Linked DNA regions of Caenorhabditis elegans. The protein of the gene in region 2 interacts with the protein of the main gene of each other region in a pairwise test. Each region holds a gene or a part of one and is shown on either strand. Other genes may lie near its edges.

Evidence for each region.
Region 1: the proteins of ceh-12 (region 2) and nhr-243 interact in a two-hybrid assay, tested with the Caenorhabditis elegans proteins (one large-scale study listed by BioGRID).
Region 3: the proteins of ceh-12 (region 2) and nhr-170 interact in a two-hybrid assay, tested with the Caenorhabditis elegans proteins (one large-scale study listed by BioGRID).

The regions. Positions count from the first base shown.
Region 1 is NC_003283.11:18,892,150-18,904,534, forward strand, and holds nhr-243 (Nuclear Hormone Receptor family), read right to left. Parts: upstream 8,389-12,385; 5' UTR 8,378-8,388; coding exon 8,217-8,377; intron 7,483-8,216; coding exon 7,346-7,482; intron 7,269-7,345; coding exon 7,204-7,268; intron 7,155-7,203; coding exon 7,023-7,154; intron 6,313-7,022; coding exon 6,103-6,312; intron 4,616-6,102; coding exon 4,416-4,615; intron 3,600-4,415; coding exon 3,329-3,599; intron 3,267-3,328; coding exon 3,168-3,266; 3' UTR 3,132-3,167; downstream 1-3,131. Other genes in the region: emb-4 (Intron-binding protein aquarius), read right to left, coding at 276-524, 1,301-1,608, 2,347-2,681, 2,751-2,819; mihp-2 (Neuropeptide CCHamide-1), read left to right, coding at 11,628-11,709.
Region 2 is NC_003279.8:5,835,879-5,844,408, forward strand, and holds ceh-12 (Homeobox protein ceh-12), read left to right. Parts: upstream 1-4,403; 5' UTR 4,404-4,410; coding exon 4,411-4,612; intron 4,613-4,658; coding exon 4,659-4,751; intron 4,752-4,845; coding exon 4,846-5,009; intron 5,010-5,924; coding exon 5,925-6,008; 3' UTR 6,009-6,062; downstream 6,063-8,530. Other genes in the region: twk-47 (Potassium channel domain-containing protein), read right to left, coding at 1-279, 564-716, 940-1,057, 1,102-1,337, 1,455-1,514; F33D11.16 (uncharacterized protein), read left to right, coding at 2,405-2,423, 2,707-2,876; col-54 (Nematode cuticle collagen N-terminal domain-containing protein), read left to right, coding at 6,836-6,979, 7,026-7,185, 7,546-8,087. UniProt on the Caenorhabditis elegans protein: Transcription factor. Plays a role, downstream from homeobox protein unc-4 and Wnt signaling, in specifying synaptic inputs to A-class motor neurons. Involved in patterning of the synaptic outputs of the postmitotic DA class cholinergic motor neurons.
Region 3 is NC_003283.11:18,792,280-18,804,111, forward strand, and holds nhr-170 (Nuclear Hormone Receptor family), read right to left. Parts: upstream 8,548-11,832; 5' UTR 8,541-8,547; coding exon 8,416-8,540; intron 8,366-8,415; coding exon 8,229-8,365; intron 7,574-8,228; coding exon 7,362-7,573; intron 5,690-7,361; coding exon 5,471-5,689; intron 5,209-5,470; coding exon 5,113-5,208; intron 5,065-5,112; coding exon 4,970-5,064; intron 4,206-4,969; coding exon 3,827-4,205; 3' UTR 3,782-3,826; downstream 1-3,781. Other genes in the region: nhr-231 (Nuclear receptor domain-containing protein), read left to right, coding at 857-1,069, 1,140-1,235, 1,285-1,379, 2,082-2,460; C54E10.11 (FIP (Fungus-Induced Protein) Related), read right to left, coding at 9,154-9,312, 9,859-9,876; C54E10.10 (Late nodulin), read right to left, coding at 10,645-10,779, 11,049-11,081; sri-10 (G protein-coupled receptor), read right to left, coding at 11,805-11,832.

The DNA.
Region 1 (12,385 bases), on a different chromosome or scaffold from region 2:
TTTTCTATATTTTTATACTAGTTTTCAATAAAAAAAATGGTGGCAAAACATGATATTTTGAAGAAATCCGCATAAAAATCGTCAAAAACCCGAAAATTGACGTGTTTCTACAGTAAAAAGGCTACGAAATTCACTGTAGAAACGCCAATTTTCGGGGTTTGACGATTTTTATGCGGATTTCTTCAAAATGTCATGTTGTACCATGTTTTTTTTAAACCATTTTAGCGCCCGTTTTTTCTCAAAAATTCTCAATTTTCAGCCGCCAATTCCCGCACCTGAAAGATCATCAATCTCAAATCTAGCGTAAAATTTGAGGAGTTGAACCAATTGGAAGAACAGCGAACCAGCGTCAGTGGAAATCAACGAAGAAAGCAGGCAATGTGTGAGAATATGTGATGAATGAAGTACTGAATTGAAGAATCGTCTCGTTTGAAGAATTGATTCTAAATCAATCAATAATTCGATGAATCTCTCGCAATATTTGATCGAATCAATTGGATCACGTACTTCTCCTTCTTCGGATTCTGCAAAAATTGTGGATTTTCAATGAAAAAGACCAATTTTTTTAGAAAAAATCGCGCGAAAATCGAATTCTACAACACATTTTCCGGGACTTTTTTTAGTTCAAAAATCACAAAATTTGAATTTTGGCGCTGAACTCTTAGCTGGAATTTGATACAATTTAGGGAAAAATTAATTGGAGAAACTGCTGATTTCTCGAAAAAATAGAATTTTTATTGCAAAATTTCTGAAAATTACTCGAAATTTGCCCGAAAAATGGGCTAAAAATGCTGAAAATACCATAAAAAATGTAAAAATTTGAGAAATTACTCAAAATTAGATGCTAAAAGCTAAAAACATCGGAAAAATCAGTGAAAATCCGCTGAAAATGTGTAAATTACGATGAAATTTGGTTTTGGGCGCTGCTTAGACTACAAACTACAAATTTTGGGCGCTGCTTAGACTACAAACTACAAGTTTTGGGCGCTGCTAATTCAATTTTGGGCGCTGCTTAGACTACAAACTACAAGTTTTGGGCGCTGCTAATTTAATTTTGGGCGCTGCTTAGACTACAAACTACAATATTTTGGGCGCTGCTGTGAATTTTTCACGTTTTTTCGTCATTTTCAAGAGATTTTAATGAGGTTTTCATTGAAAAATCGAAAAAAAATTACGGTTTTCGGATAAAAAACTAATATTTTCTTTAATTTTTCGCATTTCTCTTCAAAAAAACGGAATTTCCGGCGTTTTTCACCGATTTTCTCCGTTTTTTCCGGAAAATTTAGCATTTTCCACGTACCCTGAGCCTCATTTGGCTCCAAACTGTTCAAAACTCGTTTAAATTTCTCGATTAAATTCCACAAATAAGTCCGTTCGAACTCGTTGTTGTCCGCCGCCGCCGCCGTCATTTTCTGCCGCACATTTTCCCAAATTTTCTTCAATTTCTTCTGTTTTTTGAACAAATCTTCGCGTTGTGAGTCCAAAAGACCGGCCCAAATCTCAATTGAGACGAGTTTTCGTGTCTCTTTGTGCACAATTGGTGTCTCAACGGAGCCAAATGCGTTGACAAGGAATGTCAGAAGAGCACAGTGTTCTGAGGAGGCGAGTCTGCAAAATTTCGAAGGATTTTTTGGTGAAAATTGGGGAGAAATTTAGTGGAAAATCGCATTTTTCGCGTTTAAATAGTGGTGATTTTCAGTGGTTTTTTGCTTTTTTCGCGAAAAAAAACAAGAAAATTGCTCGAAATTAGGTGCAAAATGAGCGAAAATGCCGAAAAATTGCTATGAAATTCGCAAAATGCAGCTAAAAATGAGCAAAAAGCGATGAAATTGGTTTTTTGGGCGCTGCTAAGACTACAAACTACAAGTTTTGGGCGCTGCTAATTCAATTTTGGGCGCTGCTTAGACTACAAACTACAAGATTTTGGGCGCTGCTAATTCAATTTTGGGCGCTGCTAGACTACAAACTACAAGTTTTGGGCGCTGCTAACGACATTTTGGGCGCTGCTAGACTACAAACTACAAGTTTTGGGCGCTGCTAAGACTACAAACTACAAGTTTCGGGCGCTGCTTAGACTACAAACTACAAGTTTTGGGCGCTGCTAGACTACAAACTACAAGTTTTGGGCCCTGCTAATTCAATTTTGGGCGCTGCTTAGACTACAAACTACAAGTTTTGGGCGCTGCTAAGACTACAAACTACAAGTTTTGGGCGCTGCTAATTCAATTTTGGGCGCCGCTTAGACTACAAACTACAAGATTTGGGCGCTGCTAATTCAATTTTCGAGCTAATTTCGAGTTTTCTGAGCTTTTTCGCCATTTTTCCGCTAAAATCTCGAATAATCACCCTTCTTCCTGCAACGAAAGCTGCAAAATGCTCTTAAAAAAGTGCGGAAAGTGCTCGGATTTCTTCGTGAAACAGTTCCACGAATCCAAATTTCGTTCTCGAAATTTCTCATTAATCATCACAACAATCGACATATTCCAGGCCTTTGAGGCTTTTTCTGGAACGTAATTCGGCCATAAATAGGCCTCCAAGTACTGCGAAAACTCGAGCATCATGATTTTTCGCGAATTAAACGAGGTTTTCAGCATTTCATTGTCGTAAATTGTGTCGATGAGCTTTGCGTCGAAATTTTCGTGAGTTTCTGCTGTGAATGGAGCCCAGAACTTGGCGGCGACCTGAAAAATTGGGAAATTTTAGGAGGAAATTTGATTTTTGTAAGTTTTCTAAGGTTTTTTTGCACCCACCGCTGAAATTGTGTCATTTTCGATGGCTCCCCGAGTCACCACGGCTTCTTGATGACGTTTAGTCACCATTTACACCTGAAAAACAGTTTTTGCCGAAAATCGCAAGATTTTAGCGATGAAACTGGTGAATTTGGGAGAAAATATCAAGAAATATTAAATTTTCGAGTTTTTTAATGCAAAATTCACTAAAAAACCTCGAAAATTCATTGAAAAACAACGGAAAATCAGAAAAAATAACTGAAAATAAAAATAAATTTCGAAAAATCCGGAAGCGCGCCTTGGACTTTTGCTGGCGCACTTTGCGTGCTTGGCGCATTTCTCGATTTTTTTAATTTATTTTTTGTCATTTTTCATCGAAAAACCTGCAAAAACCTCAAAAAATCACGATTTAAAGTTAATTTATTCAATAAAAATCAATTATAAATCCTCAAAATACTCATAATGAGAAAATCGCATCGTGTGAACGTCGAAAACCTTGGCCAATTGGAGTTTTGAGCGGATTTGGAGCACTTCTTCCTGCAAAAATGTGTTAAATTTTATTAATTTATCAATATTTAGAGTGAAAAAGCTAAGAAAACCTTAATTTTCCGGATAATTCTCAAAATCTGCGCCAGGCGAACTGAATATCTCGGCGTTTCCTTCACATTAACATAGTAATCATGCAGATTATTCGCCAATTTTTCCATAATTTTCTCGCAATTTTCTTGAATTTCGCCTCGAAATCGGCGTCCCGCGTGTCCGAGCACCAAATGAGCCAGCATATAGGACAGCTCCACGTCATCTGGGTTCAAATTCATCATTTCTTGGGCAAATTTGTAGGTTATGTGGTTTTCTGACGTGTCGTAGAAGCTGAAAATTGGTGAAATTCTGCTGAAAATGCGCTGGGCGCTGCTAAGACTACAAACTACAAGTTTTGGGCGCTGCTAATTCAATTTTGGGCGCTGCTTAGACTACAAACTACAAATTTTGGGCGCTGCTAATTCAATTTTGGGCGCTGCTTAGACTACAAACTACAAGTTTTGGGCGCTGCTAATTCAATTTTGGGCGCTGCTTAGACTACAAACTACAAGTTTTTGGGCGTTGCTAATTCAATTTTGGGCGCTGCTTAGACTACAAACTACAAGTTTTGGGCGCTGCTAATTCAATTTTGGGCGCTGCTTAGACTACAAACTACAAATTTTTGGGCGTTGCTAATTCAATTTTGGGCGCTGCTTAGACTACAAACTACAAGTTTTGGGCGCTGCTAATTCAATTTTGGGCGCTGCTTAGACTACAAACTACAAATTTTTGGAATTTTGAAGCAATTCCAATAGAGTTTTTAATGGAAAAAATGCCAGAAAACTGAGAAAATTAATAATTTTCGCGGAAATTTTCGCGGAAAAGAAAATCGAATTGGAGATGGTTTTGACTACAAACTACAGCATTTTGGCGCTGTTTAAGCCTAAAATGCACACTTTCGCAGGATTTTGTCACAAAAATTTCGAGTTTTCGGGTGATTCTGAGGGGGTTTTAAGCGTATTTCCGAAATTTTCCGCTACAAAAACTACTATTTGGTTTGATCTACGAGAATTGCGGGGTGTTTAGAGATAGAGTTTGCTGACGTCATATTTTTCTGGGAGTGAAAATTTTTCCCGCATTTTTTGTTGATCAACCCTAAGTACTTACAATTGCATTTGCTGATTGGTTAATCGTGAGCACCACGTCAAATCCAACTCCATATTCTTCATATCCATCATTGAATACTCATTTTTATGCGAAAACATTACACAATCACCGCAGCACATCTTCATCCGTCGCCCCATCGCTGTAATTGCCAACTTATCCAGACGAGACCATACATGCCACGTGGCGGCAAGGATTTTTAGCTGGAAATTTTCGGGATTTCAGGTGGTTAAAACTATAAAAAGTGGTGGAAATTCTAATAGAAATAGAACATGTTTTAAGAGCTAAAATCTCGAAAATTTCGCCAATTCACTGCAACTTTTTCCTCACGAGGGACGAGGAAAAGTGGTTTCTAGGCCATGGCCGAGGGGCCGACAAGTTTCAGCGGCCATTTATCTTGCTTTGTTTTCCGCCTGTTTTCTTTCGTTTTTCATCGATTTTTTTCGTTTTTTCTTAATAAAACTGATAAATAAATATTTTTTGCAGATGCTAAAACAATTTCCAAGTAAAAAAATTATGTATTCAGTGGGCAAGCAGCGGTGAAAGTGGTCAATGCAATATGATGGATTACGGGAATACAAAACCTAAACTTTTTCTGAAACATGATACATATGATGCTTAGATGCTGAAATTATCTGATTTTCATAACGAGACCGCTGAAAAAGTTTTGAGGTTTCCAAAATTCTACTTTTTGTGCGAAAATCTCGACTTTTTCACCAAAAAAGTTGAATTTTGGAAACCTCAAAACTTTTTCAGCGGTCTCGTTATGAAAATCAGGTAATTTCAGCATCTAAGCATCACATGTATCATGTTTCAGAAAAAGTTTGGGTTTTTTATTCCCGTAATCCATCATATTACAATGCCCACTTTCATCGCTGCTTGCCGACTGAATACATAATTTTTTTACTTGGAAATTGTTTTAGCATCTGCAAAAAATATTTATTTATCAGTTTTATTAAGAAAAAATGAAAAAATCGATGAAAAACGAAAGAAAACAGGCGGAAAACAAAGCAAGATAAATGGCCGCTGAAACTTGTCGGCCCCTCGGCCATGGCCTAGAAACCACTTTTCCTCGTCCCTCGAGAGGAAAAAGTTGCAGTGCAATTTTTCAGTGTTACAGCCAGCTGCCAAGTAGTAGTTTTTATTCAATTTTCACCCATTAATGTATATTTTAATGGTTTATTACGCGTTTTTCAGTAGATTAAGCTAAAACGCGTGAAAAATGATTAAAATATACATTAAAGGTGGGGGTACCGAAATTTGAGACTTTGCGTTTTTAGACACAAAATGGCCCAAAACTACCAAATTTCGTAATGAGACGTTCTGAAAATTTTTCAACAAAAAAGTTATGGCTGCTCAAAGTTTTGGAAACAACGGCTAAAAATAGGCCGTTTTTTTCCGAAAACTTTGAGCAGCCATAACTTTTTTTTGAAAAATTTTCGTCTCATTACGAAATTCGGTAGTTTTGGGCCATTTTAGGTCTAAAAAAGTAAAGTCTCAAATTTCGGTACCCCACCTTTAATGGGTGAAAATTGAATATAATCTAATTTTTGGCCGCTATAACACTGAAAAATTGCCGAAATTTGAGTTTTTAGCTGAAAAGTTTTTTTTCTTCGAATTCGGGCCATTTCGAGTATATCTGAATAGGTTGTGGTAGCTGAACTAAACTACAAACTACAAAAAAAAACACCTGAACATCATTAGACATTCGCTGGAAATCGTCGAAATACGAAAACCACGTGGCGGCCCGCAGAAAATCATTTTCCCAGAATGCAAACGTCTCGGCCATCCCGTAGCTCTCGATCACCTTAACTTTGGGATTACTGTAGTTTCCAGCCAACTTCCGAACTCCGCGAGCCAGCTTTTGCAAGGAATCAGAACCCCACGGGGTTGGAGAGCCCTGGAAATGAAATTTGACTGCGATATTCGGATTCTACGTGAAATTTGCGAAATTTTGAAACCCATATCGACTAGTTTCTGAAACGTTTGACGCCTTAAATGGGCCCAAATCTAGCCTAAAATCTCCTTTTTCGGCCTAAAAATCCAAAACTTCAGAACCTAGCCGATATGGGTTTTAAAATTTTGGAAATTTCAAGTAGAATTCTAATTCTAGGTTCAAAATTGTCTCAGATCTCCTGGAAACTCAAATTTCGGCCTGAATCGGCCTAATTGCCTGAAAATCAAAATGTCCTAGTCTTGCTTGATAGAGGTGTCGAATAAACTAGATTTTTGCGAAGAATGGTTGGTGAAAAAAGCAGCAGAAATTGAGATTTTCGGCTTAGATCGGCCTGAAACGGCCTATTTCAGCCTAAAAATCTCATTTTTCAGGATCAAAACTATAAATTTTAATTTTTCAGAAGTTCTACAGAAAATTAAATTTGTGACTGAAATTCTGCGGATTTTCAATATTCGGCCTGAAAAAGGCCTATTTCGGCCCAAAAACCGAGTTTTTCAGAACCTAGTCAATATGGGTTCCAAAACTTTGGAAATTTCATGGAGAATTCGAATTTCATACTTAAAAGTGTCCCCGAGTGTCCCATGTCCCGACAAGTGGCGGGACAAATTTTCAAAATTCAATTTTTATGCCTAAAAATCGATAGCTAAGCTTACCTCAAACAGTATCCTTCGGCCCTTTTCCACAAAATCATGGCAATCGATTAAATTTTGCTGAGTGTGAATTTCAATTAGTGTCGGCTTACAGTGAACCACAAAAAACGGGCGGCCCACTAGTTTTTCGATGCTCTGAATGGGAAAAGATTTGGGTTTGGGTGAAATTTGGCTGAAAATTTACCTCAGGCAATTTATTATTTATAATTTCAATTTTAGATCGAATATGGTCCCGTTGGAATTGGAAATCTGAAAAAAAAAATTTTTTCGAAAAATCTTTAAAAAAAAAATTTTTTCCGAAAATTTCAAATTTCCCCCCGAATTACTTTTCATGGTCATTCCGACTTTATAGCACCGTTCCAGACGGCATTTCTTGCACTGAAACCATCCATTTCCGTTGAATAAGTTACAGGTCCGGGATTTTTTGCACGGCCCGATGGAGGCAGACTGGGTGGAGGCTCGGCTGAAATTTTTAGGATTAAAAATTTTTTTTGTGAATAATTTTTCAGTTTTTCAGAACACCTAATATGTATAGAAGAAACAAAAAAAAAGGAAAACCTTCAAAAAATTTTAATTTAAAAAAAGTGTTTTCGGGAATTTCAAAATTTGTCCCGTTGTCGGGACATGGGACATTCGGGGACACTTTTTAGTAGGAAATTCGGATTCTCCATGAAATTTCCAAAATTTTGACACCCATATTGACTAGGTTCTGAAAGTTTTGAGTTTTAGGCCAGAATAGGCCAATTTAGGCTTTTTCAGGCCCGGTTTATATCGAAAAATTAAAAATTCTTAGGCTTTCAGTCACAAATTTAAAGTTTCTCAAGATTTTTTAGAGTTGTGAGTCTTTTACTGGCTGAGTTCTAGAAACATAGGTTTTTAGGCCGAAATAGGCCCTTTTTAGGCCGGAATAAGCCGAAAATCTCAAATAAGCAAGTTAGAGGTTTTGATTGCAAGTTTCTAGAGGTAAAATTTTAAGCAAAATTCAAAAATTTAAACTTTATCGCTCTCCCGGCACTTTGAGCCGAGTTATGGGCTCCCGGAGCCTTGAGGTGCTCAAATTTCATTTTTTTGGAAATACTCAATATGGGTGTCAAATAAGTGGTAAATTTTGTGCTGAACACGATGGAAGTATTATTTTCCACTAAAATCTAAAAGTTTTTGAGAAAATTCTAAAAAACTGTCGAAAAAAAAACTCACCGAAAAAAAGCGGCACAAGCTCTGCAACTAAATGCTCCAAAATGCTTTCCCTTGGCATCTAAACCACAAACTGCACATTTTTTAAAGCCGATTGCCGTAATTTCAGGTGTCTGGGAGTCAGAAGTGGATGAAGATGGAGAAGAAGAGAATGGGGTGATCATTTGTCTGAAAATATGGGTTTTGCATGGAATTCAGGGAAAATTGGAAGGAATTTGTTAAGTCAGCTAGTAAAAAGTGTATAAAAAAGAGTTTAAGAAAAATCCATAAATAAAAAAAAAATTATTTTTTGAAGTTTTTGAAATTGTTTTTTTTTATTTTCTTGAGATTTCTTTCAATTTTCAAGCTCATAGTCATACACACCAATCAAAAAAATCATTAAAAAAATTTTAGCAGGCAACGGGGCTCGAACCCCTGACCTACTTTTTCAAAGCCGCACACAGCCAACCCTCTACCCACCTGAGCCACAAATACCCCAAATTTAAAATTTTGAAAATTATGGCTAAGCTCTGAAATTACACTTCCTAGGCTTAAAATTACACGGGAAATCCAAAAATTTAAGTTATTTTGCTCTAGGACCACTTTGAGCCAAGTTATGGGCTTAAGGAGCTCCGAGGGCCCAAAAACCTGAAAAATCTGATGTCAAATAACATGCTAATTTTATGCTGAACAACTTTTCAGTTGACAACTTTTTGATATCTCTTCTAGTTTTTGAGATATTCCCCGAAATAGGTGGAAAAATCGATAAAAGGTTTTCCTAGGTTTTCGGGAATTCTTTGAAATTTTGTGAACTCAGAGGTTTAAATTGATCTCAACATGTTTAAATTGCAATGAAAAAAAATTTAGCAGGCACCGGAACTCGAACCCCTGACCTGCTTTTACCCTACTTCGCCCAACTGTCCCTCTACCCATCTGAGCCATAAATTCCCCCTCTCTGAAATATTAAAAATAGTGGCTAAGCTCGAAATTTACCCTTTCTAGCCTTAAAATTACACGGAAAATCTAAAAATTTACGTTACTTTGCTCTAGGACTACATTGAGCCACATTATGGGCTTATGGAGCTCCGAGGGCCCGAAAAGCCTGAAAAATCTGAAATTTTCAAAATACTCAATATGGGTGTCAAATAAATAGCAAATTTTATGCTGAACAACTTTTCAGTTGACAACTTTTTGATATCTCTTCTAGTTTTTGAGATATTCCCCGAAATAGGTGGAAAAATCGCTAAAAAATTTCAAATTTCCAAAAATTTTCAGTTTTTCAAGTAGAAATTGTTGCCAATAAATAATGAAAAATAACAATAAAGGTGTTTCTAAAAAAATCAATATTTCGCAATAAATTCTCCTTATTCTTACGCCAAAGACCGATAGCAAACATGAGACGGCGAGAGAGTGCACATTTTTCAGAGAGTGGTTAGAGATAGAAAGGGTAAAACATTTGGAGATTACAGGTGTGTCTAGAGGTTAGTACTTGACTATAATGTAGTGGAAACAAGAAACCCCGAAAAAATTATATGAAAATCGGAGAGAATGAGAAAATTCTGAAAAATTTTGAAATCTCTCCAGTTTTTCTGGAATATCTTAAAAACTAGAAAAGTCATCCAGAAAATACATGTTTTATCGTGTTCAGCACAAAATTTGCTATATAGATGACACCAATATTGGATAATTTGAAAATTTTAGATTTTTCAGGCTTTTCGGGCGATCGGAGCTTCTTAAGCCCATAACTTGGCTCAACGTTGTCCTAGAGCAAAATGACATTAATTTTTGGATTTCTCGTGTAATTTTGAGCCTAGAAAGTGTAAATTTAGAGCTTAGCCATGATTTTCAAAATTTCAAATTTGGGGTGTTTTTGGCTCAGGTGGGAAGAGGGACAAATTATAAAAAACGGTCGCGGGTTCAAACCCCCGCTCAGGCCGATAGTTTTTATTTTGTTTGAACAATATTTTAAATCAATTTTCAAGTTATAAAAGTAAGTTTCAGTTTGGAAATTTTCAAATTTGGAATTTTCATCCGAAAAACTCGGATTTTTTTTTAGGTTTCTACTTAATTCAGGCGACATTTCCTTTTTTGAAATGTGAGCAGAACCCCTTAAAATGTGCATTACTCCACTAAAAAACCGGTTTTGTTTTTCAGATTTCTCTTGCCGCGCCGTTTTCATGCAAATTGGCAGAAATAATTGGATCACTCGTTGGTTGGGGGAGCACGGAAGAAGGCTTAAAGCACAGATTTTAAATTCCGAAATTTTTGAAGGATACGTCATCTAATTATCCAGCTCACACTCACACACCCACTTGAAAATTTATATATATATATAAATAAAAAGATTTTGCTCGAAAATTTGAAATTTCCGTTTTATTACGAATTCTTTTCATTGCGCCTTTTCCGGTTTTTAATTAGGTGTATTATTATACTAGGATTACTGTAAAAAAGGGTGGGGTTGAGATTTGGAGCAGGAAAAAATTTGAAAAAAAAAATTCCATAAACATTTTTTTTTTTGAAATTTGTTTTCATTTTTTGCATTTATATTAGAAGTGGCAAATCTAATTCTTTTTTTAGATTTTCTTTTTTTAGAAAAAAATTTTAAAGCATACACCCTTATATTTCACTGTTTTACAAATTTAAAAATTAAAAAAAAAACTTCTGGAAAAATTTCAAAAAAAATTTTTTTTTTCGAAATAAAAAAAAAAATTTTGAAATTTTTTCGGCATATATAGACGTGAAAAATCTATTTTGTTTTTTTTTTTTGAATTGTCTAGATTCCCGGCCAATTTACCAATTTATGGCCTAACGTTTGGTTTTCTAGGCCACCAACTTCAAATCGCTTTGTTGGGAAATGAGATACTTGTGAAACTCAAAATGAACTGAATTTCTCATAAAAAATACTATAAAACCGTATTTACATCTACACACTGTTTTGGAAAAAAAATGAAAAAAAAATTTTTTTTTTGAATATATTTTTCAAAAAAAAAAAATTTTTTTTGAAAAATTTTTCTTACACTTTTTCCTTTAAAATTCCTTTTTTTATCCGGAATATATACATTTTTAATATTTTTTTGAATTCACTAATTAATAAAACCCCGATTGGCCACTCTGTGTCATCTGAAAAGGGGGCGGAGCTCCGAGGCTGTTGTGGGCGGAGCTTAAATCATATTTCATATTTTATTAGACTCACTGTTTTTGAAAGATTTTAAAAATTATTTGTCAAAAAATTTTACCGAAAAAATTTCCAAAAAATTCCCATCTCCCGTTAGTCTTTATCAAAATTTTTGGAATTTTCGCCAAAAAATGCTCCAAATTTTTTAATAAATACTAACAGGATTTTAAGGAGAATAAATTTTTTTTTTCGAGACTTTTAACCCCGTCGGAAACCTTTTTTTTTGTAAAAATCTGAAAAATTGCAAATTTTCAGGTAAAATGAGAGTGCAAGTAGTCACACTTCTCGCGGTTTTGCTCGCCGTCTTGCAGTTCACCTCAGCAGCCGGTAACTATTATTCAGGTATGTTGAAGAGCGGAAAATTGGCTTCAATTTAAGTCAAAAATTGGCGGGAAATGTTGATTTTGAAAAAAATTACAAGAGTTTGAAAATTTTGAGGCAAAATTTTTTTTGGGCTGGACAAATTTTTTTATTTTTTTTTGAAATTTTTTTTTAAAAACTAAAAAAAATTTTGTTATTGCTTCATTTTAGTGTATATACCTCGTTTAAATGCAAAATAACCTTAAGTATTAATTTTTCAGAAAAAATTAAAAAAAAAAAGTTTTGAAAATTTTGACAAATTTTTAAAATATATGTTCAGATTTATGAAAATTTATAGAAAATGTGGTAAAAATTAAAAAAAAATACAAAAATAGAAATATTTCAGTTCCAGATTTCAAAAAAACATTTTTTTTTAATATTGAAAGTACAAAAATACGACAGTTTGAAAAATCAAATTTTTTTTTCAAAAATTAAATTTTCAAAACTACCGTTACCTAGCAGCTTTCGTTTTGAGACCCATAAAACTAAATTTTTCAAATTTAGCAAGTCATGGGCTTTCAAATAAGTATAATCATGACTGGATTTCAGATTTTAGTTTTTTCCAGTTTTTGGGTCTCGCAGGGAATATTTCGCGGCGTTACCCATTTTTCAGAAATTTCTGGAAATTTAGTCAAATATGTACATTTTTAGAAAGTCT
Region 2 (8,530 bases):
TCCTGCAGCAATATACAGTACTCCACCCAACATACAGAATATCAAAAGAATCGAAGCATTTATCACTAGAGGTAATCGTTTCTCAGGCATTTCATCTGAATCAGTTGTCTGTTCTTCTTCTAATTGAACATCTTTTTGTGTTGTACACTCTGAAATTGTCGATCCAGTGTCTTGAACAAGTCTTTTGAATGCATGTAAACGACGTTTCTCATCACGAGCACGATGTCTTTCCAATATTACAGTTTTCATTATTTTCAGCTTATGCACTAGATCCAGGTACTGAAATATAAAAAATATATTATTTATTCTACTACTAGAGAAAATGACCATCAACTTTAGGCACCACTTTTTCGAATTTTGGAGATTCTAAAACTCCTAACTGCTATTTAGTAACATGTAGTATATTATATTTAATTTAACAGCCATCAATCAAGCTCCGAAATAAGCTCTCAATTAGCTTTCAAAGATTTTGAAAATACCTAGATAGAGCATCTCACGGTTCTCTAGTTAGTTCATATAATTTTCAAAGAAAAAGGTCTATAACAGGTGATAAGTGTACCAACCTTTGAATACAATTCCAAAACAATATGTGATAAAAATCGTCCAAAATCAACAGCTGCCAGAACCATCATTGGAATTCCAACTAATCCATAAATTATTGCAAAACACTGCCCTATTGGGGTAACCGGAACGGCATAAGCATATCCAGTTGTTGTCTGAAATTTACATTAATTATCTTTCGGTGTACAGATATTTTTTTGTAATCAAAAATCTATCCATTTTAAATTTAAATTTTCAAAAATTCAAGACTGTCAGTTTAATAGTTCTGGTTTTGATATTTCCTGTTCAACCGATTTCGTTCCGTTTAAACTGTATATTTCAATGGCATGTTGAGAATTATAAGAATTTAAGATATAAAAAGTGTTTTTAAAAAGCTACCAAAATGCTAAGAGCATATAAAATAGAGCTTCTTTTAGTCCATCTTGGTGGCAAAGCATCATCACTTATTCCAGAAATTGTTGATTTAAATTCTCGTCCTTCATGATAAGTGGATAATCTGAATGGCAAAAATCTGCAATCAGTTAAATTTAATACACTTACCCAGATAAATGCTTCAATAATTTTGGTTTATACTCTTCATATTTCTTATCATTTCCTATGAAAACCTTCACTTCATTTTCAATTTGTTTATATCTTTGCCGTATTAGATTCAACTTTGTCATTTGAATTTTTTTGTCAGCATCATATTCCTGATAGTAGAATGCATAAGCTCCAATTAAAAGATATAAAAACAAGAAAACTGCAAGACCCACATGAGGAAGTGCCATTTTTAACATCTGAAAACGACAATTTTGTACCCATTTTGCTTGTTTTCACAAAATTTGTTCAAAAATAATTTTTTACTTTGTCCAATAAAAATCAAAAAATTTTATATAAAGTTGTAACTCTCTTACCTTTTTCAATTTATTTTGCACTGGTAATTCGGTGCTCGACGAATTTTCTTCTTCAGACATTTTAGCGTATAGTATTCGGATAGAAATGTGTAAAAATGATGAAAAGCGTAGCATTCAATGAGACCCATATGGAAATTATGAAACCAGAATAATTTGGTAATTGTATTAGTTTAGAAATATTTGTTTAAGTTATTGTGTTCAATTTGTTTTGTTTAGGCAGCAACTGATTTGGATGAGAAGAGTTAAAAATAGGTTATTTAATCAATAAAAGCAATATGAAAAGTATTCCTCAGTAGGGTCTAACAATAAATACACTAATGGTCAAAATAATATAACTTATTCCAGTCTAAAAATATTCACGAATTTTCTTCTCCTAAATACTAGAAATTCTTAAATTTATCAAAAACCAGAAAAAATTGCAACATCTACAGTCAGTTTAAATTGTTTTTGAATTTTGGTATTTTGGTATTTGAGAAACGTTCAAATCAGATTTTAAAAATATTGGATAGGTATTTTCGCACTCATACATCTTTGAAATAAAACATTAAGTTTTTTCTCAATACGTTTGAAAAAAGTACAGTACTACATAGTATATGCACACATTTTCCAAATATATATTATCAACAGAAAACTATTCTCATCATTCTATTTTCCCAATATTCCCATCCACTTTGAATCACTAACAACAATCATGTGATTTCCTAAATGTTTTCCTTTTTTCAAATTGAAGAAAATCAACGCTGCGGAACACATTTTCCCGAAAAAAGCCGTCCGAGTTGTTCCCGTCCACACCTTTTTTCCCTCTCAAGAGTTATTCTTTTGTAGATTCTTTGGATCATTCACTTGATAGCCTAATAGTGGGCGTGTGTTTGTCTGTGCTCCGTTACGTGAAAAACGGAACAAATATTTTTTGAAAAAAAAACATTCGAATTTTTCCGTCGCGTCTCGAAATGCCCATTTCTCCTGCTGGTAGGTTTTTATAGACCTCTATTTGAAAATTTAGTTATGAATGTTTAAATAAGTGTCTCTAAAACTATAAAAAACCAATTTTTAGAGGAATCTTGGTAGATGCTCACTTTTCAGCTCACATTGATTAAATCCTCAAAAGTTCACATATAATCATTGAAATTGTTTTTTGAAATAATTTTTTAAAAAGTTATGTTTGACTCATTCTGTTTTGGTTACTTTGGCAACTACCTGAACACAGTCTCCTGTATCAATTGCTCTTAAACTTTTTAATCGAAATTTTCAGATTCAACAAGCATTGCTCGTCAAAAACAACGTCGCATCGAACCACTTGTAATGCTTGATTCTCGGGATTACGGTAGTTGGAGGAATGGAACAACTCCATCGCCGAGCACAAATAACAAAAGCCCTCCGGTATTTCAAAATGAGAAGAAGAGAGTTCATTGGCGGAAATAATTCTTGTTTCAATTTTTTTTTGTATTCTCTGTAAACTGTGTACATATTTTGTAAATTGGATTACTAATTTAAAAATAAATACTTGTAAAATAAAATGAAATAAATAAATAACTGTAAAAGCGTACTTCAGGTAGATCCAAAATATTTGGAGTGGATTTAATTTTTGGGTTCAGGTCAAGTCTGTGCGGCAAACGGCACAAGGTTCAAGGGACAAGCAACCGAAATCATTGATACTAACGAAAAGTTGAAATGCAGTAAGAAGATCAAGGAATTACCGGACAAAATTATTGCCAAGGAACAAAGGCATACGTCTCAGCTTCATTTGCATGATCCTGTTCAAGTATTCCGTGACATCATCAACCACCATCACGTGTGTACCTCATACCAGGGCTGTGCGGCATCCTGAATTTTCGGCGAACGTTCGCCGACACATAAATTTCTCATAATTTTTCGGCGATCGGCATTTATCGGCACTTTTCGGCATCCTTAAAAAAAAAATTTTGTGTTTTTTTTTCAATTTTCTAAATCTAAATAGTTGAATTCCAAAGTTTTATAAAGAGTGTCTGGTTTGAATTTTAAAGCATAGATCAATTTCATATTTAAACGACCAGACTGTTGGGATAGTCAAAAAAGGATCCCAGAGGCAAGAATGATTCAAAATAATTGTGTCGACTAAAAGAATATGGCTAATAATTCAAATATGTTAATTTTTGGGAAGTGTTAGAAATACAGGTGATTTGGGAGTGTTATGATACAAGAGACACAGAGATGTCTTTGGTTGTGTTTTATGACTATAATGTTTGTAGATTTATGTTTCAACGGATGAATGTGAAAAACTTGAATGTATATTCGATTAAATTTTTAAAAAATAAATTTTTCACAAATGCCGAAAAATACCGAAAAAAGTCGAACAAAAGTCGACCGTTTGCCGCACATCTCTCATACATATGAACGTCATATTTGAATATTCTCGTTTAAGCTGATGTGCACGGCATTTGGAATATTACGGGAATTGCCAAAACCATAGAAAATATTTTCCTAACAGCAATCGAAACTATTTGATTCCATAACTCCAATTCCCTTCTTTAAACTAGAAATTTATAAGCACATGCCTGTTCTAAGTATCCATCAATCAAATGCCAAGAAACCGCAAAACAAGGCGAAAATTATCAGAATTCTCAACAAGTCATCCGGGCGGCTCCCAAGAGGCAGTGCCGCGGCGGCAACACGCTCATCTTAAATGAAAACCCAAGAAAGAGACGCTATATAATGTTTTCCGAAATATCAATCATGCTTCTCCTCACACATCAGCTTCTCGTCTTCTCGTCCTACCGTAGTCGCTTATGAACCGAGCCGCCTCCCTAGAGACTATGGGATCCTCAGCGGTAAGTGATGGGCTCCGCCTTGTAAAATGCAACATTTTCCCTCATTCAATATGAGCCGGATGATTTTTCGCATATTTATCATTTTTGTTTCAAAGACTCCTACAGTACTCTTCTAATCGTAAACCTTTTCAATTGACAATAATTTCAGAATGATGTTTTCCTCAATAGATTCTCTTCTTAAAATCTCAACTTCTTCTCAAAATGAAGATCAAAAATTAGAGAGTCACCCCTCCCCTCCATCACAAATTCCAAATTATTCAACCAGCTGCTCTGAGGAATTAATGAAAATGGCGGCAAAAGCAGCCCAATTTGCTGCTCAAGCCTCGCTGGAGAACTCATTTTCCAGTTCTAGTGAGCTTGAACCTTTAAACTAGAAAAATCAATAACACATTTTTAGCTTCTCCCACATCAACTGTTACTCCACTTTCTGCATACACGTCACTGGTTCAGCCGGTCCTTCCTTTGATCTACGATCATTTAGCATTAACATGTAAGTGATGATTTTATGAAAGGGAATACTTCAGTAAATCCCCAATAAAAACCTCTAAAAGGTTACATACTAGAAATAATTTGAATTTTTCTAGATTCAGTAAATGCATGGCAAGCATGGGGAAAGATGAGAAGACCACGAACCGCATTCAGCAGTGAACAATTAGTTCAATTAGAGAAACAATTCTCAGATAATCGATATTTGAGTAGACCAAGAAGATATCAATTGGCACAACAATTATCTCTTTCAGAGACTCAGGTAATTTCAATAGATTTAATAAAACTGGTGCTTCCATAAAGGTAAATATGCCTACCCGTTTGCCTACCCGTACATAACGGTAAACAAATAGATATGCTTGCATTGAAGCCTTTGAAGCTCAAGAAACGAGAAAATATACGTCCACCAAAAATACTTATTTTACAATTTTTACTCTAATTATCTTTCAATTATTTGAACTTTATGGGGATTTAAACTTTGACGAATACTTTATAGTTCTCAAAGAGTCCACATTTATCGAACACTTTGACAAAAAATTTCGAAAAAACCTGAAAAAAAATTTAGAGTGGCCGATGGTCCGCTGTTTTAAAAAATTTTTAGAGGGTATATTTTGACGAGTTTCGCATTGGCGCTAGGGCTGTGCGGCTGATGACTCGGCTGATGGAGACAATCAAGTTTTTCAACGTGTTAGCACTGATCAATTAAAGAATATTTGTATTTGCAGTATTGGCTGAGTCATGAGCTTCTTATTCTAGAAAAAAGTTTTTTTTTAAGTGCACACACCTTGACAAAACAGTCGGCTTTTTGAATCATCCGAGTAACTCGGCTGTCGGCTGTCGGCTGATTGGAAAAACGAGTTTTTCTGGAAGGGGTGTGCACTTTTTTAAAAACTTTTTTCTAGAATTAGAAGCTCAAGACTCAGCCGATATGGCAAATACAAGTATTCCCTAATTGATCATTGCTAATACGTTGAAAAACGTTGATTTGCTCCATCAGCCGAGTCATCAGCCGCACAGCCCTAATTGGCGCCACTTCACTTTTAATCAACAGAATATTCAACAAATGTGTTCCTACGAGAATGAAAATTGTGTAAAAATTACTTAAGTAAATTTCCATTGTATAAAATCATTATTTATTTTTTTCTAATTTCTTGTTTCTAAATCATAATGATTTCAGATCAAAATCTGGTTCCAAAATCGTCGAATGAAAAACAAACGTTGCCCATCTTCAACTCCAATTCAATCAACTTCCTCTTCTTGATAATCTTTTTATATTTGATCACTTTTACTTAATAAATTCTTAATCAAAAGACAATATTCATTTCTAATTTATCTTCTTCCGCATCATTAAAACCTGTCAAATGATTACGTGATTTCGGTTCACTGATAACAAAAAATCGGATATTCTTCATCTCTCTCTCTCTCTCACCCCCAGGCTTCTTCTTCTTCTTCTGTCTTCTTTTTTATACAAAAAAAAAACACGTTACCTGACAATGCTTTAAATAGTGAAAATCTAGTGAAAACTCGCTTTTCAAGGGTATTTATGTTCGAATGAAAATGACTCCGCCCGTCCGAATACTTCCCATTATACAGTCACTTTGCTGATTGATGGGGTATCTTTTTTCGAGTTATATACGTTTTACTGCATTCACTTTTATTAGTATATTCAATTATACTATACATTCATACGTTCTTATCAAAATTACGAATTTTGTTATGATATCTAGCAGTTTTCTATTTTATTAGAAATCTTAATCTTCTCTAAAGGGAGAATCATAATACACCGTATTTCCTCTAATAGTTTTTTCATCTTATACCTTTTAATGGTTAAATCTCGGTTCAGTTTGAAGATATCAATAAATAATCAACTACAAAGAATTAGAAATAGAAATACAATTTTTTTACCGTTGACATTTTTTGTATTGGACACACGATATGTAAAATGTCAAAGTTGAACAATGAGGTGCAATAACAGGAAGTACGGTATATCAAACCATTTCGAAAAACAACATGTACCTTTAAAGCCGGATTTCACATCTTCACGAAATGATTATATTGGTATATTTTAATTTAGAAGTTTCAGTAATTATGTCAACCACAAGTACAGTACTCTTATTCATAACTTCGGTATGTGGTGTGGCTATTATTTCCAGTCTTCTTGTTGCTGGATCATTATTCTTTGAAGCTCAAGGATTTTTAGAGACTTCACTTGATGAAATTGAATCCTTCAAGGTTTCATTAAACAAAAATAAACTTGAGAACATGTTAATTTTTTAAGCACTACTCCGATGTCGCATGGAAAGATATGATATCATCTAATACATTTGACAGAAAGAAAAGAGACGACGAAGATAAGTCATGTGGCTGCCCATGTGCAAACGGTCCAAATAACTGCCCTCCGGGAGAAGCAGGACCACCGGGAGCTCCAGGAACACCAGGTAATTCTGCAAAACGTTTCGACCACGGCAGGATTCGAACCTGCAATCTTCTGCTCCGTAGGCAGACGCGTTATCCATTGCGCCACGCGGCCACATTTTCCGGGTCTGTCAATGCGCTATTACACATCGGAGTAAATCAATCTCGCTTGCAATAGTGAACCTTGACACTGCTAGAAACATTTATCCAATTGTTAGAAAACTTGTTTTAACTTTAACTTTAACTTTAAGACTTTAACAAATTGAAAAAAAAATTATAAAATATTTACATTTAAAAAAATTCTGCTTTCCAAGAAGTCTAAGATTTCTTAGTCAATTATTTTCCAAAATTTCAAAACAATTTAATTATGAAATATTTCACAGGAGCCGACGGAGAAGCTGGAAATCCAGGAAAAGATGGAGCTGCCGGATCTTCGTTGGTATTTGAAGATGAGAAGCTTCCATGCATTAAATGCCCAGCTGGTGAACCAGGACCACAAGGACCTGATGGTGCACCAGGTGCACCAGGACCAGATGGACAGCCAGGAGCTCCAGGATCCAACGGAAATCCAGGATCTGCCGGAGAACAAGGATCAGAAGGAGAACCAGGAGATGCTGGAGCAACAGGAGAAATTGGAGTTGCAGGAGCACCAGGAAAGAATGGAAACCGTGGATCTGGTGCTCCAGGAGCTCCAGGTCCAGAAGGACCAATTGGAGAACCAGGAAAAGATGGACAACAAGGACCACATGGAGATGTTGGAGGTGATGGAACTGAAGGAATTCAAGGAGCACCAGGAAAAGATGGAGAAAATGGATCTGATGGAGTTGCAGGAAGTGATGGAGCTCCAGGAGCACCAGGACCAGATGCTGCCTATTGTTCATGTCCAGCAAGAACTAAGCTTGTTTTTTCTAGTGAATCTCCATAAATTATTCAATGTTTCCAAATATTTAATTTATCAATTGTTATTGTTTGCCATCAAGTGTCATTAAAAGAGTGAATAAAATTGTCTCAAAAAAAAAAAGGTGGAGTCACTTTATATGTACCGTAATGACCGAATAGAACTATAAAAAAGAATGCAACTTTCCGAATGTTTCCAGATTTTTCAATTTTGCTACAAAAAATTCACTTATGCGGAATTCAACATTAATTCTGTCTCAATAAATTATAACTCAGCGACAATTTTTTACAACAAATTCGCGGGTCATACATAGCTCAATTCGAATTTTTTTGAGAATGGAAAACAAAGAACGCGAAACTAAAACTGTGATTCAAGGATCATGAACCCGCGTTAAAGCTGAAATTAATTTTTAAACAATTAAATATGTTTTTTTCTTTTTTTTCTTTCATTCAACATTAAAAAGTAAACGC
Region 3 (11,832 bases), on a different chromosome or scaffold from region 2:
CTAGAATTTTTTCCGAATTTCTAGAATTTTTTCTGATTTTCTAGAATTTTCCTGAATTTCTAAAAAAATGTCTGAATTTCTAGAATTTTTCTTGAACTCTAAGAATTTTTCCTGAGCTTCTAGAATTTTTTTCTGAATTTCTAGAATTTTTCCTGAACTTCTGGAATTTTTCCTGAGCTTCTAGAATTTTTTCCGAATTTCTAGAATTTTTTTCTGATTTTCTAGAATTTTCCTGATTTTCTAAAAAAAATTTCTGAATTTCTAGAATTTTTCCTAAACTTCTAGAATTTTTCCTGAGCTTTTAGAATTTTTTCCGAATTTCTAGAATTTTTCCCAAAGTTCCAGAATTTTTTTCTAAATTTCTAGAATTTTTCCTGAACTTCTAGAATTTGTCCTGTGCTTCTAGAATGTTTTCCGAATTTCTAGAATTTTTCAAAAAACTTCTGGGATTTTTCCTGAATTTCTAAAGTTTTCCCTGAATTTCTAGAATTTTTAAAAAAATTTCTGGCATTTTTCTTGAACTTCTAAAATTTTTTCTGATTTTCTATAATTTTTTTCTGAATTTCTAGAATTTTTCTGAATTTCTAGAATTGTTTCTGAATTTCTAGAATTGTTTCTGAATTTCTATAAGTTTTTGTGAATTTCTAGAATTTTTAATGAATTTTTAGAATTTTTTTAAAAATTTCTAGATTTTTTAAAAACATTCCTGTGATTTTTCAGAAGTTTTAGAATTTTTAAAAAAAATTCTAGATTTTGCTGAAATTTTCTAGGATTGTATTAAGGATTTTTCGGAAATTAAAAAAAAAATTTTTGATTTTCTGCTTGACAGTTTTCAGTTTTTTTCAATTTTTTTCAGAACCACAATTTCTACGTGGCTCCAGATTTAAATCCACTCCAAATGATGGTAGAGTCCCTTCACAAAATCCGATCGAAACAGTCAGGGTCCCCAGAATTTTTTACCACTATCAAGTTTGGCAGAAAGTTCCAATGGTGGGCTGAGCAGCTGGAAGACACGGCCACGTGGCTTATGAACTGCCGGGAGTTTAGAGGGCTCCCAATTCATGAAAAGGTAGTGTTGATTAGGCTTAGGCTTGGGCTTAGATTTAGGCTTAGCCTTAAAAAAGTTACTCAATTTCCAGCTTGCAATTTTCAAAATAGTGTGGGCAGTTTGGCGGAGATTCGAGAGGTACACAATGTCTGCTGAAGTTTTCGGACAAAAATGTTATGATGAAAAAGTAGGCAGGAGTCTTACCTAAATCAAAATTCTAAAAAAATTTATTCCAGATTCTTCTGCATTCCCATAAGTTTGCAGCAAGATTTGGGAGCTATTGCGTTGATTATTCACATGTATGGAGCCAGGGTCCGCACACTTTTGAGAAGTAAGCCCTGATACTAAGAATATTGAATTTGCCATGAAATTTCCAAAATTTTGACACCCATATTGACTATTTTTATGCTATCTTGTACGGAAGGTTATTTTAAAAAATTTCAAAATTTAAACAAAAGCTGTTTTTTTTTCAAAGATTCAAAAGTACGGCAAAATAGTAATAGTAATAGAGCCTAATAGTAAATCCCCACCTAAATTTTTTTAGTCTTTTTCTCCATTTTCGGCCTAAAAAAACCAAAATGGGTATCAAAAGCTTCCAAATTTTACTTAGAATCCATATTTCCTACTACAAATTCAACATTTTCAGTGTATTCGGTGGAAAAATGATCCGATACTTTGACATAATCGTGAAGCCATACCTGGAACTTAATCTCTCTGAAACTGAAGTCACCTATATTTTATGTCAAATCGTCTGGAATTATGGCTTTAGGCCACTTTCAGGCCTGAAAACAGATTTTTCGGAATATAGTCAATATGGGTGTCAAAATTTCGGAAATTTTGTGTAGATCTCGAATTTTTACCTTGAAATCACTCAAAATGCTCTAAAAATATGCAAAACACCAATTTTGTCATACTCTTCAAAATTTTTAGTTTTCAGCTTTATTTTCAGCCCAAAAGACCCATTATTGGTGTCAAAATGCTCCAAATTTTACGTAGAATCCAAATTTCTTACTGAAAAATTCAATTTTTTCAGTGTATTCGGTGGAAAAATGATCAGATATTTTGACATAATCGTGAAGCCATACCTGGAACTTAATCTCTCTGAAACTGAAGTCACCTATATTTTATGTCAAATCGTCTGGAATTATGCAGGAAGACGGCTTCAAGGACAAACCCAAGCGGCTGGAGAACGATTTTTAGAGGAAATTTCCAATAATTTGCATAGTTACTATGAAGAAGCTGCTAGAAAAGAGGAAAATCCGAAAAACTATGCGTCAAGGCTTACGAAAATGATGCAAATTGTCAATGAAATGTTGAAAATGCAGCTGAAACAGGAAACTGACATGGACTTGGCGCTTTTGTTTGATATGTTCAATATTTCGTTTACCGAGCCCGAGTTTTTCAGGGTTTGAGGGGAATTTTATAGTAAAAAAGCAATGAAATCTTTAATTTCTAATGGAAACAGCATTTACAAAAAATTTCAGGAAAATTCCAGAAATTTTCAGACATTTCTAGCAAGTTTCAGCTCTGAAAACCTGGAAAAACTTTCAAAAACTTTGAAGAAAATTCACAAATTTTAAGAAAAATTTCATATAAATTTCAGAGATTCGGAATTTTTTTTTGAAAATTTCAGAAAATTGCAGAAATTCAGAAAATGTTCCGGAAAAATATTTCAAAAAAAAACTCACAAACTTTCATAGACTATTTTCTGGAAAATTGATTTTCAGGCCTAGTATTGGCCTAAAACGGCTTACTTCAGCTTGAAAAGTCAATTTTTCGGAAACTTAAAATTACAGTCAACATTGAAATTAAATTTCCAAAATACGACACCCATATTGACTACATTCTGAAAAATTACTTTCAGGCCTAGAATTGGCCTGGAAGCGGCCTATTTCGGCCTGAAAGTTACCTTTTTCGGAAGTCCGGAAGAAAGTTACCAATTTGACACAACGTTGTGAAAATATTGATTTCGGGCCTAGAATTTGGCTTGAAACGGCCTATTTCGGTTCAGGTAGACTATTGTCGTCGAAGAATTGGATCGTTTTCGGGCCGAATACACTGAAAAATCAGACTGATGTGGAGAATTTAGAACGTTACACAGAAATTCTAACAAATTATGATCCATATTGGCTACTTTCTGAAAAGTTAGTATTCAGGCCTGTTTTTGCCCTAGAACGGCCCGTTTCGGCCCAGAAGTAAATTTTTAGGTCATCAGTAGCAAAATAGATGTGTACATAACATTTCCCAAAATGCGACGCCCATGTTAGCTATATTCTAAAAACGTAACAATCAGGCCTAGAATTGGCCTGAAAACGGCCTATTTTGGACTGAAAAGTGAATTTTCGGAAGATTAGCATAAAAAATAGAAAGGTGCATAGCACTCCTCAAAATTTTAAACATATATTGGCTATTTTCAGGAAAAGTGAATATCAGGCCTAGAATTGGCCTGACAACGGCCCATTTCGGACTGAAAAGTGGATTTTTCGAAGATCAGCATAAAAATAGAAATGTGCATAGCACTCCTCAAAATTTTAAACCTATACTGGGTATTTTCAAGAAGTTTGACAATCAGGCCTAAACTTGGCCTGAAAACGGCCCAGTTTGGCTTAAACACTAAAATTTTCAGATCATAGTCAATATGGGTGTCAAAATTTTGGAAATTTCACGCCAAATTTGAATTTTTTAGTTTCAAGTCCACTTATGTGTGTTACAAAATTCTAAAATAACTTCACAATTTCACACAAAATATCAAACGATTTATTTTCGTTATTTTTCCACTCAAACCCTGAAAAATTCGGGCTCAGTGAACACAATATTAAACATATCAAACAACATTGCTATATCCATAGTATTTTCTCGTTTCAACTGAATACTCAGCATTTCATTGACAATTTGCATCATTTTCGTAAGCCTTGACGCATAGTTTTTCGGATTTTCCTCTTTTCTAGCAGCTTCTTCATAGTAACTATGCAAATTATTGGAAATTTCCTCTAAAAATCGTTCTCCAGCCGCTTGGGTTTGTCCTTGAAGCCGTCTTCCTGCATAATTCCAGACGATTTGACATAAAATATAGGTGACTTCAGTTTCAGAGAGATTAAGTTCCAGGTATGGCTTCACGATTATGTCAAAATATCTGATCATTTTTCCACCGAATACACTGAAAAAATTGAATTTTTCAGTAAGAAATTTGGATTCTACGTAAAATTTGGAGCATTTTGACACCAATAATGGGTCTTTTGGGCTGAAAATAAAGCTGAAAACTAAAAATTTTGAAGAGTATGACAAAATTGGTGTTTTGCATATTTTTAGAGCATTTTAAGTGATTTCAAGGTAAAAATTCGAGATCTACACAAAATTTCCGAAATTTTGACACCCATATTGACTATATTCCGAAAAATCTGTTTTCAGGCCTGAAAGTAAAGCCTGAAACGTCAATTTTTTGGAACCTTTATATTACAATCTGCATTGCAATAAAATTTCCAAAATTTTGACTCTTAAATTGACTGAATTCTGAAAAATCACTTTTCAGGCTTAGATTTTGACTTAAAACGGACTATTTTGGCCTGAAAACTCATTTTTTTGGAAACTTAATATTACAGTCAACTATTTTTTAAAAAATGCCAAAAATTTGGCACCCATGTTGACTATATTCTGAAAAATCAGTTTTCAAGCCTGAAAGTGACCCAAAGTGGCCCAAAATGGCCTACTTTGGCTTAGAAAGACGATATTTGGAAAGCAGTAGATATACATGTCAAATTTTCATAATATCTCTTAATTTACATCAATTTTGGCTTCCAGGCCTAAAATGGGCCTATTTCGGCCTGAAAACTAAAATTTTCAGAATATAGTCAATATGGGGGTCACAATTTTGCGAATTTTATGTAGATTTCAAATTTTTAACTTCAAAGTCCGGAAACTCACTTGTTAAACCGCTCAAAGCCGTGATCCGACACGTTTGAATAATCGATATGATAATTGCCAAATCTCGCGGCAAATTGGTGATTGTGAACGTGAATCTGAGAAATTTTTAATATTTTCAGACTATTTCAGGCCGTTTCAGTTACTTTTTCGTCATAGCATTTTTGACCGAACATTTGAGCAGACATTGTGTACCTCTCGAATCTCCGCCACACCGCCCACACTATTTTGAAAATTGCGATCTGGAAATTGAGAGACTTTTTTTAAGGCTAAGCTTAAATCTAAGCCCAAGCCTAAGCCTAAGCCTAAGCCTAATCAACACTACCTTTTCATGAAAAAAAAAATTTTCAGAATTTTTTTTTTAAATTTTCAGACAAACTACCAAAAAAAACTAGAAAAATGTTTTAAGCCTAAACCTAACCCCGAGTCTAGGCCTAAGCCTAAGCCTGAGTCTAGGCCTAAGCTTGAGTCTAGGCCTAGGCCTAAGCCTAATTCGAAAAAAACCTTCTCATGACTCGGTAGCCTCCGAAATTCGTCCGAATGCATAAGCCACGTGGCAGTATCCCGCATCTGTACCTCCCACCACTGGAACATTTTGTAAAATTTTACGTGCTCAAAAAATTCCGGGCTCCAGGACTGTTTCTCACGGATTTTGTGCAATGAGTGGGACATCCGCTGAAGGGGGTTCAGATGAGCAATAAGGTCTTCGTCGGGAAAATAGTGCTGCAAAAAAAAATTGAAATTCGCTGAAAAATGTAAAGATTGAGAATTTCCGAAGTCTAAACCAAAAAAATTGAATTCTTTGTGAAAATTGCAAAATTTTGACACCCATATTGAGTATATTTCTAAAACTTCAGTTTTCGGGCCGTTCTGGGCCTCATTTCAGGCTTGATCTCCGAATTTTCAAAATTTAACACACAAAAAATGCATTTTGTGAATTTTGTACAAAAGTGACATACAAATCGGTTGTTTTTAACAGTTTGTGCTTTCAGGCCGTTTTGGGCCGGCTTTTCGGACCAAAATAAGCCGTTTCAGGCCGAAATCTGCCCTGGAAACAATTTTTTTAACAATTTAGCAATATGGGTTTCGAAATAATTTAAAATAATTTAAAAATTTGTATTCTCCGCAAAATTTCCGAAATTTTGACCCCCATATTGACTATATTCCGGAAATTTATGTTTTCGGGCCGAAATAGGCCGATTTTAGGCCGAAATAAAATAGAGTCTACTCACAATTGCAAAATTTCATACAGTTCCTAAAATTTGGAAACTTAACACCGCCTAAATTTATGAGTTTTTTGAATTCGGGCCGTTTCAGGCCGAAATAGGCCGAATTTAGGCTTATACTGAAAATAATAGTAATTTTCGAAAAATAATACTATAAATTTCGGATTGTTCACAATTTCTAAAATTTTAAAACCCATTTTGAGTATATTTCTAAAACTTCAGTTTTCGGGCCGTTCTGGGCCTCATTTCAGGCTTGATCTCCGAATTTTCAAAATTTAACACACAAAAAATGCATTTTGTGAATTTTGTACAAAAGTGACATACAAATCGGTTGTTTTTAACAGTTTGTGCTTTCAGGCCGTTTTGGGCCGGCTTTTCGGACCAAAATAAGCCGTTTCAGGCCGAAATCTGCCCTGGAAACAATTTTTTTAACAATTTAGCAATATGGGTTTCGAAATAATTTAAAATAATTTAAAAATTTGTATTCTCCGCAAAATTTCCGAAATTTTGACCCCCATATTGACTATATTCCGGAAATTTATGTTTTCGGGCCGAAATAGGCCGATTTTAGGCCGAAATAAAATAGAGTCTACTCACAATTGCAAAATTTCATACAGTTCTTAAAATTTGGAAACTTAACACCGCCTAAATTTATGAGTTTTTTGAATTCGGGCCGTTTCAGGCCGAAATAGGCCGAATTTAGGCTTATACTGAAAATAATAGTAATTTTCGAAAAATAATACTATAAATTTCGGATTGTTCACAATTTCTAAAATTTTAAAACCCATTTTGAGTATATTTCTAAAACTTCAGTTTTCGGGCCGTTCTGGGCCTCATTTCAGGCTTGATCTCCGAATTTTCAAAATTTAACACACAAAAAATGCATTTTGTGAATTTTGTACAAAAGTGACATACAAATCGGTTGTTTTTAACAGTTTGTGCTTTCAGGCCGTTTTGGGCCGGCTTTTCGGACCAAAATAAGCCGTTTCAGGCCGAAATCTGTCCTGAAAACAATTTTTCAATTCAATTTAGCAATATGGGTTTCAAATTCAAAAATAAGTATTGATTAAATTTCACAAGATTATTTTTAAGCCAGTTTTAGACCGGAAAATTGACTTTTTCAGAATTTTTTCAAACTTTTTTGAAACAAATTTTTGAAAATTACCTACCGTCTCCAAAATTGCTCTACTTTCTTTAATAATTGCATTGACATCAATAAGCATTGCAGGTGCTTGAGTTTTCGGGTTAACTATGTAATATTCCACCCGATTCCGCACTTTGGCGACAATTTGCTGTGATGACGTCACTTCCATTGATGACGTGGATTGAGGGGATTGAGAACTGGTGTCTTCAGAATCGTCTTTGAAATCTGTGCGTACATCTGAAAAAAAAATTGAAAAACTGAAAAAAAAAAGTTTTAGCCCGAAATAGGCCGAAATAGGCCAAATTTTAGCCTAAAACAAAACATTGCAAACTTTAATAAGCAATCTCTTCTGAGAATTGAAATAAATCAAAGTTTTGACGCCAGTACTCGTTGTATAGTTTCTGAGTCGATTCGGGCCGAAATAAGCCGAGATAGGCCGAACTTAGATCAGTGTGAGACATGTTATGAGGTTTTTCTTTGAATGCAAAAATTTTTGTCGAGTTAAACCTTTACAACCTTATTTTTAGCTATAGTTTAAAAAATTGTGGTTGGGTTTTAAAATTTTAGAAATTGTGAACAATCCGAAATTTATAGTATTATTTTCAGTTTAAGCCTAAATTCGGCCTATTTCGGCCTGAAACGGCCCGAATTCAAAAAACTTATAAATTTAGGCGCTAAATTTTAGGAACTGTATGAAATTTTGCAATTGTGAGTAGACTCTATTTTATTTCGGCCTAAAATCGGCCAATTTCGGCCCGAAAACATAAATTTCCTGAATATAGTCAATATGGGGGTCAAAATTTCGGAAATTTTGCGGAGAATACAATTTTTTAAATTATTTTGCTTTCACAGTTTGCATTTTCAACGAAAATTTGAGAAAAAAAACCCTCACTTTCAGTAGTCATACCCAAGTCGATGCATTTTTTAAATCTGCAAAATTTGCACAGCTTCTCCTCGCCACCGGCTCCAATTTCACATTTTCCAGTTTTCTGGATACATTTGTATTTTCGGTTCAAAACTACGGTGCGCCTGGAAAAAAATTCTCCGGTACGATGCTCCGAAATTCCGCTAGAGCTTACCTGAAAAATGCAGCACACGCACGACAAGTTTCAAGCCCAAAATGCAGACCGTGACTGGTTTTTTGACAAATTTCACAGTTTACAGTGAAATATGTCATTTCTGACGAGGATGATGGAAATTCCATTCTGAAAATTTGAATTTTGGCGACAAAATATCGATTTTTGAGGAAAAAAAACTCAAAATTTCTCAATTTTTAATGTAAAAATCTATGGAAAATGTGAAAATCGTAATATATTTCATAGATGAAAAGTGAGAAATTTGATAAGAGGTGAAATAGAGACAGGGGAAAAGTAAATATTAGGGAAAAAAGCACGAGACGCAGAGTAGGAACATCAGCAGGTATTAGTCACCAGGAAACATGCATACATTATTGTCATAGGAAATATAATTTTTAGTTAAATAAACCAAAATTTTCTCGAAAAACCGGGTTCTAACACAGTTTTCAAGATTTGAAACCTAAAAAATCGAAATTCTCGCATAGAAAAACCCCCGACAGAGTACATAGGTTTTTCTATGCGAGAAAATCGAATTTTCAATTTTTAACTTATGAAAATCAAGCTGGAACATTGATTTTGGAGATTTTAGGGGGGCTTTTCTCAATTTTTGAGAATTTCAAAGCAAATCGACCAAACTAAGCTTGAATTGCATGTACACAGTTCTCTAAAGTTTAGATGTTTTGTTGAAACAACACAATTTCGGTATGATAATATTTATTCAATATTCAGAGCTTAGGCTGTTCACCATGGAATGTTTGGAACATAACGACATACTCCCAAGTAGCATCTGTGAAAAGTTCTGCACGGTGGGTCACACCATCTGCGAGTACGATTGCGGGCTACGCCGAATCCCTGGACTTCGTCTTGACAAAGAACTCCGAATGGGAAGAGAACAGCGATCTGAAATTTCAAAGCTTAATTTTTGACATTCCTAGAAGTTTTTGTATATTCTTAAACTGAAAAATTCGATTTTATCCGTCTAAATATGATTGAAAACACTTGAAAAAAATTTTTTGCCACAGCGGGGACTCGAACCCCGGTCTTGTGATTGTCAGTCGCCGAAAATCACACTGAGCCATTTGGACAAAATTTTCAAAAATTTGCGGGAAATATGTAAATGTGAGTGTAACACTAATTTTGATTCTAATTTGAAAATTTCAAATTTGAAAATTTTTTGTTGAGTAAGTAAATTTTTGGTATTTTCCAGATGTTTTTTCTCTGAAACCTCAAAATTTGAAGTTTATACTTTTCAAACATCCTGAAAACATAATAACAAAAAATTTTACCAAAGCGGGGACCCGAACCCCGGTCTTGTGATTGGTAGTCAGCAAAAATCCCACTGAGCCATTCTGGCATAAATTTTAAAATTTCAAGATATTGTCCGATTTTTTTTAAAATTTAGACTAATTCAAAAGTAATTTAGTTTTCAACTCTAGAAACACTTACCAAAACGAGAATTTTCATATTTTCGAGCGCCACACTAAAATATGAGGTTCTTAATGTTTTCCTGCTAGTTTTTATAGATTTTAATCGTATTCTCAAGGAATTTCCATTATTTCGGTGTTTGATTCGAGGCCGATGGGAATTTCAAAGAAAAATTTACATTTCTCAGTGGGCGTTTGGGAAAGTGACTCACAAATGGTTTTGATTTTTTGAACTGGCAATTGATTTTTTCGAAGTTTTCCAAGAAGATGATGCAAAAAAAACTTTAAAGTTCAGATTCAGACGCATCAAAAATACCCAAAATCCGTTCAAGCAACACTAGAAAAAAATATCGACCAGCGTGCGGACTCGAACCCCGGTCTCGTGATTGGAAGTTGGCGAAAATCCCACTGCGCCAGCCGGACAAAATTTTCAAAAATGTGCGAATTTAAAAGGGTTTCAACTCAGCTTTCAAGTTTTAAGACCCAAAAAATCGAAAATCTCGCCTATAAAAACCTAAATACCCCCAACGGGGACCCGAACCTGCGCAGTCGGGAAGAGGCTTGACTATGGGGAAATAGGAGCCAGGGTTGAACCCCCGATGGGGCACATAGGTTTTTCTAGTCGAGATTTTTGAATTTTCCACTTTTAAATTATGAGAATCGAGTTGGAAACTAGATTTTGGTGATTTCAGGGGTATGTTGCACTCTTTTTTTAAACTAATGCTGAATCAATTCGACTATGCGTCTGAAAAAAAACAATTTCCAGTAAAAACAAAACGGTCTTGATATAACAACATTTATTCAAAATTCAGATACATACTCCCAAGACGCATATGTGAGTAGGATGACACTGTGGAATACACGTAAATCTGATTTGAGAAGCTGCATTAAATGCCGGGGCATTGTCTTGGCAAAGGGCTCCGAATAGGAAGAGAGCAGCGATCTGAAACATTAATTTTTGGCGTTCCTATAAGTTTTTATGCTAAAAAAAAATTGAAAATTCAAGTTTTACAAGCTTTAATTACTATAGAAAACGTAAATAAAAAAATCTGCCACAGCGGGGCTCGAACCCCGGTCTTGTGATTGGTAGTCGCCGAAAATCGCACTGAGCCATTCGGACAAAATTTTTGAAAATTGAGCTTTCTTAGGTTTTTTAAGGTTTTAAGCTCAAAATTGATGATAATTCAACTTTTAAACTCTAGAAACACTTACCAAAATGAACATTTTCATATTTTCGAGCGCCATATTAAAATATGTCGGTCTTAATATTTTGGGGGTAACTTTTATAGATTTCAATCGTGTTCTCAAAGAATTTTATTGATTTAATGTTTGATGTGAGGACGATGGAAATTTTAAATGGAAATTTGCATTTCTTAGTGGGCGTTTGGGGCCGTGACTCAGAAACTGTTTTTTTTTTAATTTTTTTTTGAGCTAAAATTGATTTTTTCGATGATTTCCGAAAATCTAGCGTTGCAAAAAATTGAAAATTCAGATTCTACACATCAGAATTACTCAAAACCGTCCAAGAAACACAATAAAAATATTCCGACCCGGGTGCGGACTCGAACCCCGGTCTTATGACTGAAAGTCGGCGAAAATCTCACTGCGCCATTCGGACAAAAATTTCAAAATTGGTCAAAATTCGGAGCACGTGATAGAAAAGCTGCTTAAAGCATAATTTTCACATTTTAGTTACAAAAATCCACTTTGAAACTAAAAAAAGAAAATTTTTGCAACCAAATTTTCGACATTTTCTAAAACTTTCTGAGTTCCCAAACTTAAAAATTTGAATTCTACGTCTCAAAAATACTCTAAAACAATTTTTAAAAATGGAAAAAAAAATTGTGCCGCGGTGCGGACTCGAACCCCGGCCTTGTGATTAGAGGTCGGCGAAAATCCAACTGCGCCATTCGGAAAAAATTTTCAAAATTGGCGGAAATTCAAAAACTTATAATAAAACTTACTTTTTCAAGCATTTAGTACAGTTCCCACAAAA